Astyanax mexicanus: one gene and its partner. The protein of the gene in region 1 purifies or fractionates together with the protein of each later gene. This does not show direct contact. Links are inferred from orthologs where the notes say so. Each region holds a gene or a part of one and is shown in the gene's direction. Other genes may lie near its edges.

Region 1 (7,485 bases):
ACTTATTTGAACTAGCAGTGGTGTGATGAGATCAGTCTCCTGTAGAGAAATGATGATGATATAATATAACAAAAATGAGAGATTCATGAATATCGAGACTGGTATCAGTACCAATGGCCAATACCATACTAATGCACACGTACTCACTTACCCAGTGAGGTCCCATTACCAATATCCAATTCCTAGTGCACATTGCTGCACTAATTAACTAATCAACTCTTGTTTCTGACAACTTCATTGTTCAAGTATTTGAGTTATATATATTCAGTCCCAGAGAGAGTAAGCAAGAGTGGGAGAGAGAGAGAGAGAGAGAGAGAGAGAGAGAGAGATTGCACTACTTTACATTAACAACTACAACTACATTATGCTCCTGATTGCTTTATTCTAAATAGGTATCGGTATTGGAGAGTATAAAATACCATGTACTCAGTTGGAAAAATGGTTGCTGTATCCCTAATAAAAATACTTGTAGTAACATCACATTTTCTTTATACAACAGGGGGAAGGAATAGTACTACTTCCTTAAAATTCATCCATTAAACAAGACATGTCCTTGCTAAAAAAAAAAAGGCTGGCTAGGTTTGGCTGGTTGACCAGATTAGCTATTAAGCAGCATAAGGTATGTCTTCTTTTGAGTTAACTACCAGTGTAAGCAACCTTCACCAAGTTGGTTGAATGCAATCACTAGCATAACTAATGTAGTTAACCAGAATAACTAATCTGGTCAAACAGTATAACCAATCTTATTGACCGGCATAACTAGCATGACCAGCCTGACCAAGCTGGTTGACTAGCAAAACCAAAATTAAATGTAGCATACACTACAATGGTCAAAAGCTGGTTAAACAGCAAACTTACATAAGGTATGTTTGGAAATATCGATCTGCTCCAGGCAAGACATCACTATCCATGTCCATTACTTATCTGTTTTGTGTGCTAATTTTGTCTTACATGCAGTAAATATGTTGAAAAAAGAGCAAAAGCTGCCCTAAAGCTAAATTTTTCAACATATTTACTGCATGTAAGACAAAATTAGCACACAAAACAGATAAGTAATGGACATGGATAGTGATGCTACATCTCAAGAGTAAGTTTTTTTGATGGGGATGTCTGCTGACCACAAAATTCTGTCCATCAGAGAAGATGACAACAAGGAAAAAGATAAACAGTGAATTGTAGCTCATGTATCAAGCAAGCTACATTAGATAGAATTGTGTAAACTGCCTAAATCTTCACAGATTTGAGCTGTTGATCATATGTAAAAAGTGAAAAGAGCTGCTGGTTTTGCTAAATTAGGTATTTGTATCCATGTTTGTGGATAACAGGGTGTCATACAGTCTCAGAAACCATAATAAACCTGTTAGAGATGACCGAACAACACAGCCCACTTTGAGGCAGATGTAATAGCATGATGCTAATTAGCAGAATATTAGCTTTGCTTGTTAACTACGTTATCCTCAAAGCAATTACTGAAAAATCTAGCTTTTATAACTAAACATGTCTCTGCTGTCAAATACTGTTTATGTGTGGTAAGAAGGGCTTTGCAGAAAATTAGATTTCTGTATAAATTATCACTTTAAAATGATAAGAAGCTGTGTCCAAATTGAACACGTTGGGAAGCAAGAGAACATGACACACTCTGAGGTGGTGAGTTTGCTACAGGCAGCGTGTGTGTGAGTGTTGAAGGGGTTGAAAGCAGAGGTGAGTTGATCTGCCTGTTCCCCTGTCTGCTGCAGAGGCAGTTTTTAATAGACGCGGAGGGAGCGGGCGGTCTCTGCAGGATTCTGATATGTTTAACTTTGAGCTGTGTCACCGGCGCTTTGGCTAAATCAGATTTGATCAGTGAGGCACATCTGGCCCAAAGAAGAGCACCTAATCCTATAAAACAATACGCTCTGGGAATATATCCATCTCAAAGAGCTCTCCAGCGCCCTTCTCAAGGTGCTGTATGTGTGTGTACAGAGAGGTTGACCAGTGATTGACTTTTTTTGATATTTTTGTAATTGTCCTAATAAATTGTATGTAAGATATTAGATATTAGATATTAATTAGATATTAGATATTAAGTCTCCCAACAGTCTTGTAGTTAAATTTGTCTGATTTAACTACAAACTAGCAATTTTAATACACATCCCAAAATTAAAACATTCAATTTGCTCCCTATAAAATTAATAGATTTGTTCATGTGAGATCATCATTGAGAAAATGACACTGCACATTTTTCTTAAAGGACTAACAGGAAATATATTTTTTAAAAGTTTTTAAACCTAAATTTATTGTTCTTAATTGTCAGGCTCAACATGTCAACTCTTTTTTAACATAATGAATAAATTCTAGTAAACAAATGTTTAGTAAAAACAACAAAAACATAAACAACAATGCTGCAAAAAATGACACTTTTATAATGTACTGAATATCATGTGGTGCTACTGTCTTAGCTAAATATGGAATTATGGTTACTATTAGCTTAAAAATGTACCCATGTCTTAATCAACTGTCACATTTATTCCTGTCAACCTTGGAAGGTCCAGATGTGCCTGGATCCAGGAAAAATCCTTGTAAATAATGGTTGAACTTGTAAAAGTTTGTTGTATAGATCAATTTAAAAAAAGCTTTAAAAAATCTTTATGCATCATTTGGATAAAATATTGTGGCGGCTCTGGGTTGTGTGTGTGGCTGCCTGCAGGCATGTTTCTGTTCTCCTGTGTGCGAGGATGACAGGGGTGGGGCATCTCCCTTGGGAGGGGTTTTGCAGAGAGGGTGGGCACCACTCTGGATCTGCCATCTGGGAGACACACAGCTGGGTTGGTGGCCTTTGGGCTATTTGAGCTCTGTGGGGATGGATTTTAGCTCTCTTAGTCTTGTTAAAGACTGTAAGTGAGTGTCAAGCTGGTTCAATAAAGGAACTGTTGAGCATTCAGCATGAGTCTCACGGGTCTTCCTTCCTCTTCCACGCCACAATATTAACAATTAAATATACAGGTAAATTGTAAATCCATATTGTACTTACATGTGGATTTCCCTTCTATCCTTCAATTATTTTATCATAATTATTTTGTTACTATAATGAAATCACATTAATATTCATTAGGAGGCCCCACACACATATCTCACAGATCAGTGTAGCATTCTTTAGCTTCCATGAGGCATGGCAAAAGTCATTGGACACAATACTAGTTTCTGTCCAATGACCTTTGGAATGTCAGTATAAATATATCTATATCTTTGTTCTTAAAATTCTGTTTAATGAGTATCTGTTGTTTGCTTATCAGAGATAAATTTATTTTTTAAAAACAACAAAAACACAACTTTTTGCTTTTATTTTTTGGGTGCTGGGACAGGTTGTAGGTGCACCCCAAAGGAGGGCTGGCTATGATCTACTATTGTTCAGCTGGTCATGATGATGTTCTAAAAAAGCAACAGGCAGTGAATTTATAAAATTAGCTTTAATTATGCGAGTCTGTTACTGGCAGCACATGTGGGGGACCCACCCGACCCCCTAAATATCATCTGCTCCATGTTCACTGACCTGCTGTACCCCCTCCCCCCCTTCTCCTCCTCCAGTCCTCTTCACATGGCTGAGGAGCCTCGAGGGTCAGTTGTCATGGCAGCCAGCAAGCGGCGCGTGAGGGTTCACTGGAGCTCGAGTTCCAGGCCCGCTGATGGATGGGCATCGCGACTCACTTCACTGAGTCGATTCGTTCTATTCCCTCTTTTAAACTACCTGTTGCTAGCGCTGATTCAAAAAGATTAAAAAAACTTCAGAAGAGCCGAATCGAATCATCCGCTTAAGCAAATCACATCTGACATTCATATAGAAATATAACCAAATAAACACATTGGAATAATGAGCATTACTGAGGACAGCAAAAATTGATTTATGCCCATGTTCACATACATAACAGTTAACAATACTTTAGTGGTATATCCTCCACAACAATTTTTTTTTTTGGCAGGCCAAATAAAACCTACATTTATTGTGACATGCCTAGTTATATGTAATAAATAAATGATTTTAAGTTAATACTAAATAGTTTAAGTCTAAGGTAATAAATACTAAATAGAACTTTTTTAAAGAAACATTTCAATATTTAAAACATTCATTTAATTATAATGGTTCCAAAATTAAGCCAAATGAAGAAATGCCCTATTTTTATTTTGACACAATTCTGGATTCTGATTCCGTTTGTAACATTACATATTTTTATACACACACACACATATATATATATATATATATATATATATATATATATATATATATATATATATATATATATATATATATTAATACATTAATGATAAAAATAAATATATGCACGCTCACAGACAACCAAAACAGAAGCTCTTTGTTATTATATATTTCAAATATATATATTCTCGTGTTTCCTCTGTAGAAAATCCTATGATTCGTTCAATCCCGCGAGTCGACTCACTTGAATCGTCTGAACGACTCGTTGGTAAATTCCCGTCACTAACGCTAGGTATTCCGTTAAACGGGAGAAAGAGGGACGGTCCCGTAACGAGATTACACACGGGACCTAAACTGGATGAGTAAGTTCTTATTTAAGCAGTTTTATGAGTCTGGGCGATCTGAAACGGGTTTAATTGTAGTTTTTAAACGCTAGAAAGGCTGAGTTTGTTTGGGTACTTTGTTGTAAATCCCGGTTTGGTGTAGCTAAGCTAACGTTACAGCTAGCACTGAGAGCTACTGAGGAAGATTTTCAGAGTTTTATCAAAAAAACTGTCGTTCATGTTGTTTTACATGATTTTAGTCGCTGTTGGCGGCGTTCCTGGTTTGTTTTGGTTTCTTCGGGGGCGTTTTTTCGGTTTTCCGCCGGTAAAAGTCTCTGGTTTATCGCCTGTTGCTTCCCCGGGAGGAGAGCTGCGGGAAGCGGATTGGCTGCAGCCCCGCCGCCCGGAGACTGCGCGGATAAACCGGACTTACACATTTAAACCCTTTATTTAACCTCAAAATTTACCAGACTGCGTTTCTGAACCATACCAGAACCGTTTAGGGCTTTTATAATTAAATATTAAATTATTCTATAAAAACGGGTTTGCCCACAGCTAGGCTGCAGGTCCTTTATGCTGTTGATAACGTTACACACATATCATAATCGATTATTAGTCGGGGAAAAGGTGGTGAATGTATTTGATATAACTTATATTTGATTTACAGAATATTGTTATTTGTAAGTAACAGCCGATCTAAAACTGGTATAAATATAATGTTTTCACGAAGAATTAAGCCATTAGTTACATTAAATACATGAATTGTTATAATTTAAACATAAATCAACTATTTATTATTTAATTATTTAATTATTTAAAATGATTTAATTTTATATCAATTATTATACATGAGTCAATTATTTATCCATAATGTCCCAAAATACATCGCTCTGTCCAATAAGATTAGGGATAGATGTGTGTTGTTATTTTAGCTATGGATGTAACCTTAGCCATCCTCCAAAGCCACATCAAGTGGAATGCAAGCAACTGGTAACATATAATTTTTTTAAAATATTTGTTTAAACTTAAAATATTTCACAAATACAAATATGTATATGTGCATACATATAAAAAATATTTGTTTATTCTCATTTTTTTTTTACTAAAGAAGTGTTTTTTTTTGGCTAACTGCTGCTGCATTTTAGGTGGAAGGGAAAAACTTGGTAAATGTTAGTGATGTAAATTTACTAAAAATGAGACACATCTTGTTTAACTACTCTAGTAACAGTGAGAAAATAACTAGAACTTGCCTCTAACAGTTATTTTATTATATATTATTATTTATCATATATTATCTGATGTCTAGGCCTGCAACGATTAGTCAATATAATCAATGTTGATTCTAAAAAGGTATCCAAATTTCAGTGCAGACTAAACAGTAATTTGTAACAGCACTGCACTACACAAAGTTCTGGTGAAAAGCATGATGTGAGAGGGGTAATGGACTCACGCAGTTTATACTCAACTTGGTCTGTGTCTCCAAAAGTGCCCACTTAATATCAGAATTTACATATCCTTGGCATTTAAACCTTATGTTCAGCTGTTTTTTGTTTTCTATTTAGTTTTTTTGTAGTTCCTATTTAGTGCTTGCTTTTATTCTTGGGTTTTACTGTTACTGACTCTACTTCTTTTACTTGGAACTTTAGTGTTTTATTTTGGACCACAAAGGTCTTAAAAGAAAGAAACAGGCTGCAACAAACTTCAATTCCCATGCTGATATATACTAGATATAATAAGATCACTCAGTATAAGGATACTATTTTTTGGGTAATGTAGGACTACTGGGTTTTAGGACTTTTTTTTACTGGAGATTGTGCTGTTTTTATTCTTTTCAAATCATTGTCTTTTCTTCTGCTTGTGTGTGGCTGTAGAATAGTCTACCAAACTTCCTGGAAATTTGACCATGTTTTTTTTTATTAACACTCTAGTTAACATCACTGTTGATTACTAGTTAACTACTACATACTTCTACTGTTACAGATGATTTTGGCACATCATTAAAAAAACTGAAAGTGGCAGGCAAAAGTTTGGACATCCTGAGTAAAAGATAAACTGACTTCCACACTTTTAAGATTAAGCTTTGTAAGATTTTAACCTAATAAGTCAATAACATATGTTGGGTAGACATTTAGAGTAAGTAGAAGTTTAGAATAAAAAAGGGAAGCATTAAAAAAAGAATTGGGCACCATATAGGGCTTTTTTTTTCTCAAAGTTTTTGCCTGTGATCCCAGATTGAAAATCACTAGACTATTATTAAACATGACCAGTAAGTTGATTGGTGTTGAAAAAATAGATGTCATGTTGAGCATTACAAAAATTAGTATTCACATTTCGACCGTTAATCACAGTCTCCTCATTTATAACCATTTATAACAAGCTGTTGTACCTAAAACGTCCCAATAAAGCTTTTATCTTATCCTGCGTGATGAACGATGAAGGTTGACTTTTTGTCATTTGGTTAAGCTAATACTTAGCTCTTCACTGTAACACATAATTTGCCTCAGGGTCCTCAAAACACTTATGTAAAGACTGCAGTTGAGAATCACAGTTCCATTATGATTTTGTATATATTGTTTTTTACTTTTTGCAGTCTAGATAATCAGTAAAGAGCTGAAAACATACGCAGCCTTCGTTCTGCTTTGCCGGTTTATGATTGAATTGTTAAAAATCAATATTACCTTAAAATATACCAAATCATTTGCATTCAGTTATTGTTTGGGACTGTATAATTTGTGTTTCAGGAACTTTGCTTCACTATGTTTTTTAATTGCTGTTCCCAGCCACGAGGTACAAGGTTTACAAGGAAATCCACACTGTCACAGTGCCAGGTGGCAAAGTCAATTATTGCAGGCTGAGACTGGCCATAGGCAAATGACAATCCTTCAATAAGAGCATTAGTCCAATACAAAGAACGACAACAGCTCTGCATTAACCTTTGGATGTCAAAAGTTTCAACTTTCTTTTTTTTCT
Region 2 (8,147 bases), on another chromosome or scaffold:
GCTTCGGGAAAATGCAAGGTGCGGATGCAAACTTTCATATATATATATATATATATTTTTTTTTTTTTTTCCCTTCAATATACTGTATATATAACCAAAATACATTTGTCCAACACAAGCAAAATTGTATGAAGTACTAAAAAAACAGACTTAAGTAAAAGTACTATAGTAGCGCTTTTTCATTGCACTTTTTTTAAACAATTTGCAATATTACTACTCAAGTACTGAAAATAAATATACAAATATTGTGTTTTGTAGTTTTCCCTCTGCAAAAGATGTTATAGTAAGAGTAAAGTGTTATAAACACATCAGTCATTCTTTAACGCATTATTGGCCCGATTTCCCGCAGATGCAGTCCTGAGGCACAGATGAAAAAGCATTTCATGGACTGCTGTCAGGAAGCTGGGATTGTGGAGGTCCTGCCCTATCACGAGTGTGATGTCATTTCACGAGACAGGCCGGACTACCTTCGCTGTCTGGTTCGTCTCCAGATCCAGAATGCCTCTGCGCGGTTCCCTGTGTTCATTACAGGTAAAAATCTTGCTTTATTTTTTTGTTTGTTTAATGCATGTTTTAAGCTTCACAAAATATACAGTGTTTTTCGTACTATAAGATGCTATTAAAATTCTTTAATTTCCTAAAAATAGTCCTTTGTAAGTACATTCTAAGTATATTTGACTGTAGTCTGCATGTTTACCATGTTAAAACAAGCCCTGGCATACCGGCTAGCTGTTAGCCGCTAATGGTGCTGCACCAAGCCTTAGTGGAAATCTGGAAATCTAAGCTTACTGTGAATAAACAACAGCGCTTTACTCACCCAAATAAACAGTTTTTACAAGAGAACTCTGTGTAGATTAACATCCAGTGCTTGTTGGAATATTTTTAAACTTAAAAAAATAAATTGAATCATGGCAGTCTTAAATTTTTAGCAATGTCTTTCTTTGTCATGAAACTAACATATGCAGACCAGTAGAGGGCGACTCCGCTGTCTTCTGTTATTAAATTAAGCTGTAAATATGTTATTAAGCTGCAAATCACAGAGACAACTGAAACAAAAAAATATATAAAAATATCCTTAATTGTGTCTACCAAGATTAACAATATAGCGGACAATTTGGGCTTAATTTCTAATAAACTGAAGGGAAAGTTTCCATCTTTTTTTTTTTATCGGGTGGCTTAATAAGCTGCTGTTTTATGTTTGATATTAATGTGCTTATTGTTTGGTTTCTTTTTCAGATACACAAACAGAGTCTTTTGGGAAAAATGGAATTTTAACAATGAATATTTACACGCTGTCACGGATTCTTTCAAACGACACATGTTCCGTTTCTTAATGCTAACTGTAAATGACATTTAGGCATTGTTTTCTATAATACGGTAACTTGCCATTGGGCGAGTGCCTCTTGTTAATAGTATAAGTTATTATGCTGTGAATATGCTAAACCTGTAGAAGTATAAACATGTAAAGAGTCTCATATGTTTCAGTTTTAAATACTGTAAAAAACAAAAAGAAATGCCAATGGTATTTTAGTGTATTCTTTGTTTTCTTTCATATGGTTTTATAAATCATATTGACAATTCTAATTTTAATAAAAACACTTTGTTTGGTACTAGTGTGTTTTTTGTGGTGGGTTTCTTTTTATTTTTTTTGAGTGGACCTAAATATTTGTATTTAATAAAATGTTTTTTGTTTTACTGAATTGACCAAATGGCTGTAGTTGCATAATAGTATATACTGTTACTGCCAGAACTGAAGCTTTTCTTTAAATTTAGAAGAGGAGTAAAGATAGCTTCTTAACTTGCATTGGAAGTCCCTGTTTTTTGTAAGGTATTTTGGTTACGTTAAAGGACACATGTATTACAAAATATTAAATATTATTAAATAATAGTTTATTTAAAATTGGGGGGGGGAAATCTACACGTTTGCTTTTTTTTCTTTTTTTCATTCTGTGTTCAGATAAAATTAACCAACTTGGCTCACGCAAATAGTGGCATGAACAATGTCAACAACCAATAGGAGAAGAGCTACGGGAACCTGCAAGGTAAGCACAGAAGCGTTTGTGGAACTGAGCGTGGATGAGATTTCTACAGCGATGGCTCGGACACCACGGTTTTCCTGGAGTGTATAAAAGGTCTTTTCCACGTGTCTTTCCATTTATACCACAACAGAATGGAAAAGTATTGAAATAATAAAAGTAAATATAAAAAAAGTAAAAAAAATCTAAGAATCTTGTTGGAGTCTTGCAAATAGTGATGCTGCAAGATCCCCAGTCTTTGCAAAATCTTAGTCTGTAAGTAAAAAGTCTGACTTGTGTTTAGATTTGAGAGAGTGTCAGACTTTGATCTATATGTTTAGAAAAAAATGTTTGATATTGGATATTGGTTCTAAAATTGTTCTTAAATAATAGGTCTATGCTTCTTCAGTGTTGCAATGTGAATTAACATGATTCTGAACGGATTTCACTCATTTAAACAACCTAAAATATATATATATATATATATATATATTTTTTTTTTAAGCAAAATTTTAATACTCTACTTATTTTAATGCTCTACTTATTTACTTAAATGTTAGGTTTAATTTGGGCTTGGGCTCAAAAAGACAGTTTAAGGCTTGGGTTGGTCTCTATTTCAGAGCTGAGTCCTTTTTAAAGTCTTCTAGTGTATGTTTAGCGGAAGATTGGAGGGTTGAAACATATTGGGTTTGTTTTATTAGTATAAGTTTATTAGGTTTCATGCTGCGAGTCTGTTCATGTCCTGTGTTATCAAACTCAATCTCCTCAGAACATGTCACCTCAGTGAACGTGTGCTTATAACACTTTCTTTCTGTCTTCTGTCTGCTGAAGTCTTTCCTACAGATCTAAATGCAGGGGTTACTTTAACCACTGTTCCTACTAAAACACTGGAGAGTTAAAGAGTGTTTGTGACTAAAGTCTTGCAAACTCTTGCATTTCAGGCTCCAATACTTAAAAATGTCCATCCTTTAAAATCGGCTTATTTTCTCTTTGCAATATTGGTGCAAACTGTACTGCTACATCTTTATAACACTGTTACAGACCTACTGCTGCCTACATAATGATAATTAACTAATTAACACTAAACAATGAACACGCCAGTGTCAGATCAACAGTTTTAGTGTTAAATAAAAGCCCTGCGAGTGTTACTATTCCCTCCTGACACTCAGTAACAGCCCTCCTCACTGGAGCTGGTAAAGTAAAGTTTGGTCAGATAGCGCCTCCAAGTGCAGACTGTCTTTATTTGAAGGAAGTGGAGTCTCTTCTCTCTTTCTATAACGGGTTTTTGGACTTTGGGCGGGGGATAAAGTGTCTCTGGGGGAAAGGGCATGTCGTTATTTTCGCATATGGTTGGTTGCAGGCAGCAGGCAGTGCACCACGAGGGCGCATGCATTTCTAGAATAGAAAAAAGAACAGAAGTTAGATATGTGGATAAATAAAAAGACTGTCAACTGGATTATATAATGTTGCAGGTCTAGAAAAGCCAGATATACTGTTGGATGTACTGTAAAATTACTTCAGAGCTGCTAAAAAAAATGGAAAGAGGAAGTTAAACAGTTAAAAATAGACTTCATGTGAACGTCTACGCGTAAAAACACTCCAGCAACAGTTTCTACAGCAACAATGTCAAGCAAAGAAATACAAACACTGTTACCTTACGTAGAAAATAGCCTTGTGACTCCTATTTAAAAAGATGTCAAAAGTATTCACATTCATTCCTCTGTAGGTAGAAGTATAGATTCTAGGGTTTAATAAAATTCTTCTGTAGAAGTTGAGGTATCAACTCAAGCTTTTTACTCTTTAAGTAAGTGGTTTTAAAACTACTTAAATTATAAATCTAAAAGTAGTGTAAGGGGGAAAATAAAGCCATTAAGGACAAAAGCATTTCTCCTTTTGTGGCATGTTCTATTAGTTTTACTATTTTAGTGTTTTTGAGATCAGATGTTCAGTTTTGGTGGGAAACTCAGATTTACTACACTGACAAGTTTTTGTAAACACTCTGTTCACCATATGATTTTCAACTTTTAGCTACTTGTAGTACTTGTAGTTGTTCAGTTCCTACTTTTTTCAGAGATGTTTATTCAGAGAGAGAGAACAAAAATTAAATTGTATTTTTTCAGAGTTTTTTTTCCCTCTTTTTATAAAATATTGATCATCCTGAATGTAAGCTATGGTTTATTTAACGTTGAATGTACGAAATTAAATCTCTTTTTAAAATCAACACCAAATCCAACAGTGATTTAGCATTGATTGAACATTTGTTCTCAAAAACACTAAAAACAGTAAAAGAAATAGAACATGAACATACACCCAGGTATTGCAAAGAATTGCTGCCAAATTAAAAAGCAGTTGTGTTACTGCAAATGGAAGTAAAACCACTTTTTCTCTTTAAACAAAGCAATACAGACTGTTCGCAAACATAGTTTCCAAACGATGGAACAAACTACCTACTACCAGATCAGGAGAATCTCTCACTATCTTTAATAAACTCCTGAAGACAGAGCTCTTCAAAGAGCACTTACTCTCCTAACACCTCTAACTAACTACCTTCTACTACCAGATCAGGAGAATCTCTCACTATCTTTAATAAACTCCTGAAGACAGAGCTCTTCAAAGAGCACTTACTCTCCTAACACCTCTAACTAAGTAAACTAAGTCTGCCAAATGTAATGTAATAATGTAATTATGTTTTATCATATTTTAATCACTTTTTAAATAAAGAAGGTTGGTTGGTTTTGTGCCAGCTGGGTGGGTTTTATATGTTTAAGTAGTTTTAAAACTTCCTTAGTACTTTTGATAGGTAGGTTGATACTTCAATTTCTACAGAAGTATTTTTTTTTTTTATTAAACACTAGTATCTATAAAATAGTTCTACCTATAGTGTGTGTGTGTGTGAATGTGAACACTTTTGACACCTTTGGTGTCACACCTCACAGTGTGTCTGGGGCAGATACGAGGTTTTTGTTAGGTGTTAAAAAGCGGGAAAGTGTCCTGGAGGTCGCGCGCCGCAGTGTCCGCGTGCGCTCCGCTGGCACCTCACCGCACATGCTCCTGCGCTACGTTCCTCTTTCTGCGTAAAAAGCGCAGAACCGGATGCGCGGTTTTGGTTTTAACTCCGAGCAGAGAGACCCGGAAAAGCGCTGCATGTCGGAGGAGCTCTCGCGCGCTGAAGCTGCAGCTCCTCTCCGCCATGCTGAGCGCTTTCTGCAGGACCTGAGGAGCAGCAGGAGGACCCGAGACCCCCGGTGCGCGCGGACCCCCAGGTGAGCTGCACTGCTGCACCTGTGCGGAGGAGTTTTAGGAGTTTTGGGTTGTTTTGTGGAGCTGTGGTTACGCAGAGGGGCTGATGCTAAGAGCTATTAGGTGTGGCAGCTTTGTGAGTGCGCGCGCGCGTGTGCGTGCTTGTGTGTGTGTGCGTAAGTGTGTGCGTGTGTAAACTTCCCCCCTCCTGAAAGTATTTTCCCTTCATATATAAATATATATATATATATTCATCTTCATCATTAAAAACAGCTCTCAAGTTAAAACTTACCCTTCTGCAAGATAATACTGGGCTCACATGGGTGGAACCTGGGTCAGGTGAGTTCCACCAGAGATGTAAAGTAATGAAGTAGAATTACGTCACTACTGTACTTAAGTACTAAAATACTGTATCTGTATCTACTGTAGTATTATTTTTTTACTTCACTACTACTGTACTTAAGTACTAAAATACTGTATCTGTATCTACTGGAGTATTATTTTTACTTCACTACTACTGTACTTAAGTACTTAAATACTGTATCTGTATCTAATGGAGTATTATTTTTACTACTTCACTACTGTACTTAAGTACAAAAATGCTGTATCTGTATCTAATGGAGTATTATTTTTACTTCACTGCTGTACTTAAGTACTAAAATGCTGTACCTGTATCTACTGGAGTATTATTTTTACTTCACTACTACTGTACTTAAGTACTAAAATACTGTATCTGTATCTACTGGAGTATTATTTTTACTTCACTACTACTGTACTTAAGTACTTAAATACTGTATCTGTATCTACTCGAGTATTATTTTTACTTCACTACTGTACTTAAGTACTAAAATACTGTATCTGTATCTACTGGAGTATTATTTTTACTTCACTACTACTGTACTTAAGTACTTAAATACTGTATCTGTATCTACTGGAGTATTATTTTACTTCACTACTACTGTACTTAAGTACTTAAATACTGTATCTGTATCTACTGGAGTATTATTTTACTTCGCTACTGTACTTAAGTACTAAAATGCTGTATCTCTATTTACTGGAGTATTATTTTTACTACTTCACTACTGTACTTAAGTACTAAAATGTTGTATCTGTATCTAATGGAGTATTATTTTTACTTCACTGCTGTACTTAAGTACTAAAATGCTGTACCTGTATCTACTGGAGTATTATTTTTACTTCACTGCTACTGTACTTAAGTACTAAAATACTGTATCTGTATCTACTGGAGTATTATTTTTACTTCACTACTACTGTACTTAAGTACTTAAATACTGTATCTGTATCTAATGGAGTATTATTTTTACTACTTCACTACTGTACTTAAGTACTAAAATGCTGTCTGTATTTACTGTAGTATTATTTTTACTACTTCACTACTGTACTTAAGTACTAAAATGCTGTATCTGTATCTACTGGAGTATTATTTTATCTCCTCGTTCCACTTTTAGTACAGATTAATACTTTTACTCAGTTTTTGATAAATTTTGTGTATTTATGTATATGAGCTGCATTGTTACTTTATTACGATTTAAAAAAATGTTATAAATCATTCCAAACCCACATTATGACTAAATCCAGAGCGGTGGATGATCTGCACTGTCGCCGGATTTGATTAAAGCTGCTCATCATTGAGCGAATTAAGAGATCAAGCTAATCTTATTAAAAGACCTCGCTGCTCCCGTGCTGCCTTTAGCACCGCTTTCTTAACTAATTAAGGAAAAAAATAATTTCTTCAAAAAATACTTCAAAGATTGTTAAAAAAGTTGAATTAATCATTTATTATTATTAGTTTGGGCATTATATACTTACGTATTCACCTACTTTAATTCACACTGTGTTTATGGAGTCATTGAAGTTATTGAAGCATGACTGACTAAAATACTGTTCACTGTTATTCATGTGAACAAACATATACAAATAAACAAAATAAATGAAAAAATATCACGATTATCAAACATTATTAAGTTCATGTTCACGATATTGCGATGATCGTGACAGGCCTAGTATAAACCCTCGGCCCCAGCACTGCATATACTCCTGCAATACACCTGAAAACACACTCCAGCACAGGTCTGCCTGCACATGCTTTGCATATAGACTGTATGAGCAGATAGAGCAGAGCAGTGAGCTGCTGAACGCTGGGAGAATTCTCCACAGAGCTCAGTCTATAGCAGGGCTATTCTTCTCAATCTGCACACACCAGCTGCTCAGCATGTGCATCAATGTTTGAGTATCACTCATCATCACACAGCTGAGCAATGTAGGTCAGCTGGAGTGCTGTACACCCATCAGCCACAACATTAGGACCAGACCGGTGAATAGGGATAAATATCGGGTTACAATAACACCTGTAGAGAAGTGAGATTTGCAGTATTAGGGAGCAACTGAACAGTCAGGTCTTGTTTTTAGGGCAGGTACTATGCAATATGATCAGTAACAAAGAGTACAGGGGTTGCAGGTAATTCAGTATGTTTCAATATATTGTGATACTGATATGAATGATTATATATATATATATTTTAGGAAATCTCTCATAACAAACAAAAAAACACACTATCGTATTCATAAAATCTGAGTAAAAGAAAAATGTATGATTTAAGCAATTATAATAGTGGGATTTAGTGGGCGGGGCTTAAACACAAACACAAAATCAACCACTGTCTGCCAGCTATCTTGAAATTAAAATCAATACTGTGTTTTTTGTTTTTAAATGATACATTTATTGAAAGTGTCCATACATCAAAGTATCACAATATTTTATTTAGTGATACTATATTTGTAAAGAGTATACTTTTAAAGATTGATGTGAAACAATGGTTCATTTATTGAATTAATCTAAATGTATAAAAAGTAAACTTTTGTTTTACCCAG

The links.
Region 2: the proteins of multiple PDZ domain protein (region 1) and plekha2 purify together in Homo sapiens (affinity purification with western blotting; 3 studies listed by BioGRID and IntAct, with this or other methods). This does not show direct contact. The link is inferred for Astyanax mexicanus from reciprocal best matches to the Homo sapiens genes MPDZ and PLEKHA2.

The regions. Positions count from the first base shown.
Region 1 is NC_064432.1:17,454,679-17,462,163, reverse strand, and holds the start of multiple PDZ domain protein, read left to right. Parts: upstream 1-4,443; 5' UTR 4,444-4,554; intron 4,555-7,485. UniProt on the Homo sapiens protein: Member of the NMDAR signaling complex that may play a role in control of AMPAR potentiation and synaptic plasticity in excitatory synapses. Promotes clustering of HT2RC at the cell surface.
Region 2 is NC_064419.1:2,042,939-2,051,085, forward strand, and holds the start of plekha2 (pleckstrin homology domain-containing family A member 2), read left to right. Parts: upstream 1-5,114; 5' UTR 5,115-5,278; intron 5,279-8,147. Other genes in the region: uncharacterized protein tasor2, read left to right, coding at 1-18, 350-531, 1,237-1,334. UniProt on the Homo sapiens protein: Binds specifically to phosphatidylinositol 3,4-diphosphate (PtdIns3,4P2), but not to other phosphoinositides. May recruit other proteins to the plasma membrane.